Linked DNA regions of Arabidopsis thaliana. The protein of the gene in region 2 interacts with the protein of the main gene of each other region in a pairwise test. Each region holds a gene or a part of one and is shown on either strand. Other genes may lie near its edges.

What was found. The genes of interacting proteins can lie anywhere in the genome.
Region 1: the proteins of NIA2 (region 2) and BRX interact in binary tests that used the Arabidopsis thaliana proteins (3 or more experiments, as listed by UniProt).

What each region holds. Positions count from the first base shown.
Region 1 is NC_003070.9:11,445,327-11,450,735, reverse strand, and holds BRX (DZC (Disease resistance/zinc finger/chromosome condensation-like region) domain containing protein), read right to left. Parts: upstream 3,450-5,409; 5' UTR 3,416-3,449; coding exon 3,414-3,415; intron 2,973-3,413; coding exon 2,819-2,972; intron 1,911-2,818; coding exon 1,519-1,910; intron 1,422-1,518; coding exon 1,292-1,421; intron 1,190-1,291; coding exon 870-1,189; intron 762-869; coding exon 683-761; 3' UTR 544-682; downstream 1-543. Other genes in the region: NIP3;1 (NOD26-like intrinsic protein 3;1), read right to left, coding at 145-276. UniProt on the Arabidopsis thaliana protein: Acts as a regulator of cell proliferation and elongation in the root and shoot. Regulates roots architecture and primary root protophloem differentiation.
Region 2 is NC_003070.9:14,156,815-14,162,438, reverse strand, and holds NIA2 (nitrate reductase 2), read right to left. Parts: upstream 3,988-5,624; 5' UTR 3,823-3,987; coding exon 2,778-3,822; intron 2,592-2,777; coding exon 2,451-2,591; intron 2,355-2,450; coding exon 787-2,354; 3' UTR 501-786; downstream 1-500. UniProt on the Arabidopsis thaliana protein: Nitrate reductase is a key enzyme involved in the first step of nitrate assimilation in plants, fungi and bacteria.

The DNA.
Region 1 (5,409 bases), 2.7 Mb from region 2:
ACCAATAATTAGAACCAAAGTCAAGATTGAGCTTGCATATAGGCTATAGCAAACATCACACGAAATATAAAATCTTGATTTGGACTAACAAATATTTCACGACAAATTAAGAAACCATATCGCAACATAAAAGAGGCGGCTCACCTTTTGAACGAACGATACGGACACAAGAGGAGCGGATAAATCCGACGACCGGGAATCATCAATGGATTGATAGTTTTCGATGTCCAAGACAACGGTTTGTGTCTGAGTAGTAATATCAGAAATCTCAGCCATTGATGGAACTATGGTGACTTTCCTCCAAGTTTATGGTTTTCTCATCTAAAAACTCAAATGGTCAACTCTACTTTGTATTCGTTATAACTTATAAGCAAATAATAAAGTTGACTTTTTTATTCTATAGTCTATACCGCATGTTGATAAATTCTTTTAGGTTCATAGTTGACTTCTTTATCTTTGTCACAAAACACACGACATGGTTTACACGATAGTTATAGACTTATAATTATATGTAAATGTAATCAGCTTTGATTAGAAATGATATTTCAAAACACTTAATTTATGTATAGATGTTAAGCTAAGATGAACAAAAAGATAAGCAAAATGTGTGTAGTTTGTGTTGTTATGTGAAGGAGATTAATTAATTAATTAAAGATTTTGGTACTCATAATATTTCGTTTGCTTAGAGGTACTGTGTTTGTATTCTCTCTCTGTTCTGCTCCCACCATGTCTTTGCATGCACTTCCCCAAACCGTTCCCGGCTGTTGATTAAACCACAAAACCATAGATTCCGGTTAGTCACGGTATGATTACCAACTTTCAAAATGTATATGATTAGCAAATGCTTAGTTTTAGACGTTTTGTTATACCTGAATCTGACTCGACGTAGCTCTCTAGTCCCATCTGATAATTGTCTGATGGTAATGTAAACACCAGGCTCGTCCTCTTCAATCCACTCAGCTTGCATTTCACTAGCATTGCTCATGGAAGGTGGATCATCTCTGGAAGAAGTTGTGGTTCTTGCTGCATCCATCGGTGGTCCTCCATGATAACTTCCTGGTCCATAGTTGCTAGAGCCGCCATAAAAGTGATGCGGGACAGATCCTGGAGGTCTGAAATTGTGTCTTGGAGTCCAGTCTTTGCTTTCTCTTGCTGAATCCATCTTTGAGTACGTTGAATCTCTCTGTGACTGAAATATAAACTTGTGTTACCCTCTCTGGCTTAAAAGACAAGATTCATATAGATCCTGTTCTGAAGAAAGACTAAGGGATCTAAGGATATATGTGTTTACCTGATCGTCGGATCTTGCAGGCGTTTGGAGAGCTTGGCGGTTAAATCTCTGTACATTGTAAAGCTCAACGATCTTGTCATAGTTCTCACCCCACCACCGTTGAGCTTGCCACTTATCAAACATCTCTCGGCTTTCAAAACAAGACACAAGTAATTGTTAGTTTTTATCTCATGTTTCAGCGTTGAATGCCATGAAGATATAGAGATTGTTTTGAGTAGTTCAAATACCTGAAACGGATCCGTTTGAGATCATTTCCTCCAGTGGGAAGAGAAGCAAATGTGATATGAACACCAGGTTCTACTTGAGCCATCCACTCTTTTGGTCCATCATCATCCAGTACAACATCACAAGACTGTGCAGAGATAGATTCTCGATCATTTCCATATATTGAAGTGAACTTTGATTCTAACCGTCCAGCTGGATGATGAGAGGAGTTTGTGAAGTCCCAAGCAGGAGTTGAACCAGCACTTCCACCCATGAAAGGGTATGGAACACCTTCAGAGGCATTGTCATAATCCGGAAATGATCTATGTCCTTTCTTCAAGGGACTACTAGAGGAACCAGTGCATGGCTTGCATTGTTTATAAGCACCAGAGAATTTCAAAGCCATATCTTTAATCTGCGTAACATATGCACCCAAAAAGACCGATTACATTCAAAAACTTTATCTTGTTTATCAAAGTAATCCATTTAAACACACAAGAATGTTGAGTATAACGGTACACAAACATTATAGGTAGTTTCAAGCCTTTTTAAGTATGACTAAGTATACTTTTTAGCCCAATGAAGTAAAAAGAGGTCTACTATGATCATTATTAAAAGAACAACAATAAAGCTATGAGATCTAACATAATTAAACATATGTATTAAAAAAAGAAACTTCATATTGTCTTCTTAGCCTGCACCACAATCATAACGGCCCACTATTTCTTTTGTTTATGTTCTTTTGATTTACTAAAATAGTTACCCCCACCCCAAAAAACCCTTTCTTTATTTCCTTGTCTAGGTAAGAATCCACTAAAGCTTATTTGAGAGAAAGGTATTTAGATCAAGCTTCACTAGCAATATTCATCAAAGTATGACCCCAATATAAGCTTTAATGATAGTCCTGATAATTCAACTGGCTACATAATTCAAGGATATGTACAATGAGGGTTTAAATTGTTTCAGTAGTTGTTTTTGACTTTCATATGTCTAGTCACATAGAGAGGAAGCAAACACTGACATGAAAACTATTAAAGAGAGATTGGTGAAAGATTCCAAAAAATGAAGTGAAGTTACCTCATTGTAAGATCTCTGTCCTAAACAACAGTAACCTCTATATACTAATGACTTCAAACTCTATTCTTTGGTAAAGAAAACGAATAATAGTCAAATATATGGACCCTTTTTAAGTCCTCTAAGATACGTTAATTGGGGTTTGTGTCTTTGTTTGTTTCACGAGCAAGGCAATTAGAGAAAAGCAATAAAATAAAGTGAAAGAAAATAAAAGCAGAAGAAGGATCAACAAAGAAAGAAGAGAGAGACCTGAATGGTTAGGCTTTTGACGGCTTCTTTAGTATTGGGAGTGGTGCCTCCACGCGCTCCATGTTCGACTTCTTCACCTCCGTCTGCTTTGGTACAAGCTATGCAAGAAAACATTTTTGGTCTCTTTTTTGAGTTGTTCTCTGCCTTTTCAGACCTATAAAACCAGAGAGTACTCTATTAAACATCATCACAAACCAAACCTCACACTACTCTACTCAAATCAATAATAATACTCTACAAAACAAAACAAAAAGTAATTAAGAACGTTAAAGTAGAGCTCACTCTCACAATCCGACATAAAACACGGGTAAAGCTTATGTAATCGTAGTACACATGTAAACATTAGTTACAAGTTAGGAACATATAGCTAGAAAAGGGTATTTGGATTTCAATTGTCGTTTTCTTATAACGCAAAACACAAACACAAAAGGACAAAGTTGTTGACATATCTCTAGTCAGGAAACAACTACTCATGTTATAACAAAAAGAAAATGTAACTTGACTGGTTAGTAGTTTAACTCATAAAGAACCAATGCTAAATATTTCAAGTACTAAACCCATTTTTTAAAAATGGAAAGAAAGAAAAACAGTTTACATTACACCATGGTCGGATATTTGTGTTACCTATTTTAAGAGCGAATAAAAAAAGATGGGTATAAATTAGTGAAGAGATCTTGATAAAGACAAAAGTGTTGAAAGAGATATTAAAACTACATGTTACACTTTTCTTTATTAAAAAAAAAAAGATGTTATAACTAGAAAAGAAAGAGAGCTTGGGGATCAGAAAATAGGACCCAGTTAAGAAATACTAATATTTTAAAAATTAATTGTGCAAATCTAAACACCTGAAAATTGTATAAACACATTATTTACAAGTAATAATATATTCTAAAGACAATCATAATAGAGACAAATGCTTCTTTATTCTACTTTAAATAGTTTTTTTTTTTTGTTAAAGAATAACTTAATACTTTTGTGTGCAGCAAAAGATCCTAAACCCATCCCTCAACTAACAAAAGTTCGAAGAATAATTACATTTTTTTTGCAGTAGCCGAAATTTATGACATTTTAAAAAAAAATCAGATTATTGTGATGACTCAAGAGAATCAAATAATATGTTCTGATTCCGCGTGTTTAACATCGATCAAGACAAATACATAAGTAAAGAAGAAAACAATTGGAAACACTAGAAAAGCAAAACAAAATTGAAAAATATAACAAGAAAATGGAATCTTGACAGTCACGTGTTAAGAAAAAGAAAAAGAGATTGGTTTCTATTTTTAGGGTTTTGAGTGATGATGGACCAATCTAAAGCGTGTCGCGACATGAAAACTAAAACTATATCCAAAGTAAAAGATAAAATCGCAAAAACAATCACGAATCACGAAAAAAACTCTGTTTTGATATCAAAAGCAAAGGCAAAAACTGATACAAAAACCATTATTATTCTCACCTCAGAAAACGACTTCTTCTTTTTTTCTTAATCATTACAATCCAAAAAATAAAATTTTGATTAGTGGGTTTTGTTTATTACTCACTCACCTTTGTGTTTCGATATCTGAGAAATGAAGCGATATGATCTGAGATTATTGAGATACTAGATAGCTAGCTTCTGCTTTATTTTCCTCTTGAAGGCTTTGGTCTATTTAGGAAGCCGGCACGAGTGGGGTTAGTTCTGAGTCTACGTCTATAAATAGACCATCAATGGCTGCAGAGAAGATTAGTGTAGTAGTGTTACAGACAGTAATTGTAATAAATGTGTTACAAAAGGACGAAAACAATTTATGATACTACAATTTTGCTTTTAATGTTTTTGAGAAAAAATTCGGCGTTTTCTCAAAAAAGTAAAAGAACAATAAATACCGGGAAACTTTTGAATGAAAATGAAAATTTATATTAATATTGAAGAATGAATACACATTTTTCGGTGAAGTTTCTGATTTGGGTTTAGTGAGAAAATTTTGGTATTAATCAGAAAAAAATGACGAATCGAATCTGTCTAAATCAAATCAATCAAGTGACAAATGTTTGCAGAAAAAGGTAACGCAAAAAAAAAAAAAAAAATCTCTGAATCTTTTTTTTTCCGGGAAAAAATAGTATTGAAAAGATCGATCGGAAAAAAACCAGTGACTAATCGTTTCTACAGAAGAACAGAAACAGAGCAACGAATCTCTCTGTTTTCTTATTTTCCCGAGAAAAATCTTCAAAAAAGAGAATTTTTATAAACTCACCTGAAATGTCTTCTTCTTCGAATCTGATTATGTAATAAACTTCACTGAGAAAATCTCCAAACTCAAAAACCCATAGAAATCTTCATTTTCCGGAAGAGAAATTTGGAAAAAATGAGAACAGAGACGAAACCGGGTCGAGAAGTCGGGTTATTGGGTGACCCGAGAACTGAAAGGAGCTCCGAGAGTTTTAACTAGACGAAGAGAAGAGAGACAAGAGTTACGAAGAGTATATATATATACGTGGAGGAAAGAGAATGTTTAACGGCGTTTAATGTAATAAAAAAGAACCGTGAGTTTTGACGGAGGTTTATTATTTTGGTGTGCCGAGGAAAAATATTGGTCTCGAGAAGAGACGGCAAA
Region 2 (5,624 bases):
ATTTAGATATATATATATATATATATCGTAACATTTTCTATCGGTTTAATAGCACACTATTTTTATATAGATATGATGTTCCTTTTGGATAACTTAGAACATAACTTGTGATGCTGTATTAAAATTCTAATCCTGTAATGGAGAAGAGTTTGGATGCTAGAAACATACTTTATAAACATGTACAATTTTAATAAGAACAAATTGAATATTAACTGAAAACTCTAAAGATTCTCAAACGATTGATATATTGTTAAACTAATCACCCAAAAAGGAAGAGTCTTCTAAATTACAAGTTAATAAAACAAATGAAAAAAGTAAATTCACTCCCCCTAATCTTAAATCATATATGTGGTGAAGATTAATATAGGAACTAATGGACGAGTTTGGTTTCAACTTGCACAACAGGAAACTACTTCGCTTTGGCTTTATTCTCTTTGAAAATGATTATTGGTGTCTAATAGCTGTAGAATTTTTATTTTATTTTTTAACGACAAAGACATATGAAAAAATGAACATATTCAAATTGATATTCATAATGTGAAGTAAACGCAGAAAATTCAATGTACGATAACCTAACCACAAAAATTTCTGAAATTACTTTTTGTATATTATTGTGAAAAAAAATATCGATCGTGAATACAACGAACACATTATATTTCCAAATCCAAGACTTTAAAGAACCAACATTATATACAAACAAATCCCTCAATACTTATTTAGAATCTATCATAACACTAGGCTTTTTGACGACTTAACGTTTTGACTTTGAAATATCTTGGCTTTAGACTAGAATATCAAGAAATCCTCCTTGATGTTATATTGCATCTTCTCCAAATTCGGCTGAACCGCAAACTGAATCATCGGTGGTGGTCCGCAAGCCATGGCAAGGGCTGAGCCATCTAATCCATCAGGGATATGTTCTCGCATAATCGCCTCGGAAATAAACCCGGTACTGTATGCCCAACCTTCCTTAGCTGATTCCACTACGTACCAAACCTTTAACCGGTCCGGGTATTGCTCTGCCCAACCATCCAGTTCCTCCCTTAGGAGAATATCTTCCTCGGTCCGGTTAGCATAAATGACGTACATTTCAGTCTCATCCTCTGGATCCTTGAGAATGGCTTGGATAATTTGGTAAACCGGAGTTATTCCGGTTCCACCTGCCAACATTGCCAATTTATCAGCAAACTTTGGTTTACCGTGAACCGTGAAACTACCCTTGCCGAGATACTCAACGTGACCCAATGGTCCTTTAATCTCCAAAGTTGACCCTATAGGCAAAGAGTCTAGGTACTGAGACATGAGCCCGCCGTTAGGGAATCTTGGGTGGACACCGCCAAAGTAAATCTTGACCACGAGCTCGAAGTAGCCAACCACATCAACGGTGCTGCTTGGTGTGTAAGCTCTGAGGCAGAGCTTGTCATTGATGGTGGCGCAAAGGAAAATGTGCTTACCAACCGGTAAGCCTAGAACCATATCCTCAACCGGTAAAGCAAACCGGAATTTACGAACATCATGAGAAATGGAAGTCTTTTCGACGAGTTGAACCGGGACTTTAGCCCGGGGATTAACCAAAGCGAGGTTCCTAACCGGAGTCGCCTCTCCAATGGGAGCCAACAGCGAGAACACGGCGGATGAACCGTGAACCGAGTTGTTAGGCGAGGAAGAGTCAGAGGAATAACCAGTGGTGATGAGCTCACCGATACGGTAATCCTCAAGCATCTTCTTGGCTTTATCCGAGTGAATGGCTTCAAACTCCTCCGTACAATCCGTACCAGCATTGATCAAGATTGAATCCGAACCACCCGGGTGATCCATAAGGAATCGTGTACAATCATAGATATGTCCATGGACAATGATCCAGCAAGAGTCAGCCGAATTATGCTTCTTGACCTCGGACATCGAGTACATCTTCGCAGTTGTGTTCATAAACGGCGTCGAGACAGACTTCTTTAGACTAGGAGGCGCGTCAGCCGATTTTTCGAGGTGACGTTCCTTCGCCATCCATCCACCAGATTCATTACCAGGAAGCGTTGGATGCTCGAACACAATCCCAATCTCTCCCTTGTGTGGCTTGCACACGTTAGTCTTCACTCTAAACCAGCAGTTATTCATCATCCCCATGAGATTCCATATCATTTTCTCGGGCTGCGTGTTGAGAGTCTCGTCCCATGCACGAACAGCAATCTCTTTGGCACTAAGCAAGTCCAAAACCTCAACCTCAAGTGACCAAAAACACCAACACCAGAACTTCCCATACTTGTTTGGCTTCTCTTGATGGTCAAGTGCACATACGTTCCATGTCTCTCCACCATCTACCGTGACCTCCACACGGGTCACTTTTTTTCCACCTCCTGTTTTTTTTTGTATAAAGATTATTGTTACTATTAAATTAAATCATCCTATGAAATAACGTATTTATTAAATTAAAATGTTAAAAGGACAAGTACCGGAATATGCGTAACCCTTTAAAGTATAAGGTCTTTGGGTTGTGAAAGCGTTGATGGGAAGAATCTCCTCGTGACATGGCGTCGTAATCACGGAGTTTATGTTTAGCTCGTTGATTATGTACTCTGGCTTATACCACCAACCTAAAACAAAACCATTGAATTTGAATTTATGTAAGTCACAGAAGCTGACATCATCCACCAACATTAGTTTTTCATTTTTTAATATGATTTCTGTTTTTGTTTTTCTCCTATAGGTTCGGAGACTTTTTAAACATATCAATTAGTTCATCTTAATGAGATTTATTGAAGCAAAAAGATTTTATGTACCTTCTTCGTCGGCGAGTTCGGCGTCTACCAAAGAAGGTAAAACTCTGTTGTCCTTGAAATGGTAGAAATTGTCGGATTCTTTAGTTGTGACAATGATTCGTTTCAACCATTTAACCATCCGGCCACCAATGAAACCGGGGATGATGATCCGAACCGGAAAACCGTGGTCTGGTGTTAGATACTCTCCGTTTTGCATATAAGCCAAAATGATGTCTCTTGATGGATCCATGGCATATTCCTTCTTGATGCTCGTTCCGTATTTGGAACCAGCAGTTCCGGCACCGCCCGGAAGATCCTCCGACCCTTCGAAGCAGACGTTGAGAGCGCCGCCTTTTCGGCTAAAGATCCCGCAGCGACGCAGTACGTCGCAGAGAGGGACACCACGCCACACGGAGGTGGAAACTCCGGCGGATCCCCAGTTGAATCCCTTTGACTTCTTCACCATGTTCTGTTCCTTACGGCGGTTCCCCGCGCAGACTAGCGTCGCGGCGAACTCGCGGTAAGCAAACTCGGAGACGAGCTGGTCCATGGTGAATTTCATGGGCCGTTTGACGAATCCGGTCACCTCGACCGTCCATTCGGCCCATTGGGCTTTAGGGACGTGGCCGTGGTTACGAACGTAGTGCAACGGGACAGGGGTGATAAACCCGTGGTGCATTAAACGGTTAAGAGGCGCCTCGGAGTTGAAGGGATGTTTCCCTGTGAGACGTACCATGGAAGGGTTACGCTCGATCCAGCTATCAGCCGTGTATTCGTCCCTCGGGTCCAAAACGGACGGTTCAAGCTCGGCGTTGGATTTTCTTATCATCTCCTTGTAGTACACGGCGTTGCTGTTGTGTGTCTCGTTCTCGTCTTCGCTCGACACGTCTTCGTCATCGTCATGAACCTTGGCTGGTTTCAAGAACACGGTTTGGTTGGTGGTTTGGTTCTGGTGCGCCTTAGGGGAATCGGACCGGCCTGGAACGGGAGGTTTGTAAGAACGAACCACGCCGTTCAAACCTGGCTCGAGACGAGCGTATTGGCGATTATCTACAGAGGCCGCCATGTTGGAAAGTGTATAATCGTAAATAATGTAGAAAGCAGAGCCTTTTTCTCTCTCTATCTCTCTCTTGTGAGTGAGATGAGATCTGAGGACGAAAATGCATCGTTGGTGGAGATGAAGTTATATAGGAGAGAGCCTAGTGGTATGCTTTTAGGAAGTATCGTGCCGAATCACACGTATGGGACCATTTGTGACTTTTTAATTTTTTTCTTACACACTTACTATTAATTTTTTCTTATGACTTGACTTAATTAAATAAACCATCCATTTGTTTGACAAAAATAAACGATCATAGTTATTCAATAAGCTTAAAATGATCATTTTTGTCCCTATTTGTTATAAAACAAATGTGAATTGTTGGAGTAGTTTTGTAAATACTTTTAACGTCTCGGAAACATGTATAGATTTTTTTTTGTCAACTAAGAAATGATGACAATTGAATAATATATTATTATCTATCATTGGTTATTTCCTGTAATACAATATAAAAATGTGATCAAAACATTTTCCTTTTTATTTTAGTCGAATTTGTTTTACTAAAAAATATGTTTTCTTATTCGTGACACAAAGCCGTATTTATTTTTAATGGAAAAATAACGATAAAAGATGACAAAATAATTAAGAGCAATAAAATTAGTAATACAAAAATCGTGGTGATAATATTTTCATACTATTAATTTTAATAGTTTTTGTGATCGGTAACTATTAAAACCGTATATATATATATATATATATATATATATATATATATATATATATATATTTTGTAAACCGTATATTTTTTACCAGTAAATTAAAGAATTATCAATGTGTTAACATAGGAAGAACGTTCCTTTTATTATTGAGATTTGATAATCCTTTTACCCCTGGTTCTAGTTTAGAAGTTTATCAATGTTCTTATATCCTTCAGTTAAACATAGGAACAACGTTCCTTTTATTCTTGAGATTTGATAAATCAATTAAACATATTATCAGAAAAAATCTAATAATCATACAATATTTATTTTCTTATTAAACGTTATTTTCAGTAATATTTTCTTATTAAACTGTTTTTTAGTAATATTTTTTTTTGATAAAATTAACAGATGTGATTTTCAGCAATATTGATGAGATATTAATTATTGAGTAATCTAATTTTTTGTATACATTATTATAACCTAAAATAGTTCCTTGAATCATCTAAAAGTTTAAAATACCTATGTATGAATGTTGGAAAATGAAAAAAAAAAAAAAACTGAATGATGGAAAATGATCACGTTCATCTTTTTCCTTAAAATAACTACAAAATTATTTCTCTTTTTGATCAAGATGCAACATTACAGCCACCTATATATTAGTATTACTGTTATTATTGTTTTTCTTCGGAAAGAATGGCGGTGACTAATCAAAACCGACGGAGCCACGGGTTCAGCAGATTCAGTGGGTAAATCTTTCTTTATTTAAGACTTTTTTTTGTTGAAAATTTCATTGAGTAAATATTGAATATTGATTTTCTTGTGAACTTCTAATTTTGGGTAACCAATATACATCTTTATTTTTTTTATATATATATATATATATATACTTCTTCTGTTATAATATATAAGATATTTCACTAAAAAGACAAAGTTTAAGATATTAATTAATATTTTTACATTAAAAAACATATTTTGATATTTAATTAAAGAGAGTTTGCTAATGAATTTTTTACTGCAGAATAAAAATTTATCTTTTGAGATGTGAGATGAAGATTAAATCTGTGAAAGAAAAAAAAGTAAAAAAGACAGTTTAAGTTTAAATCATATGGTACTATTTATATTATGTTT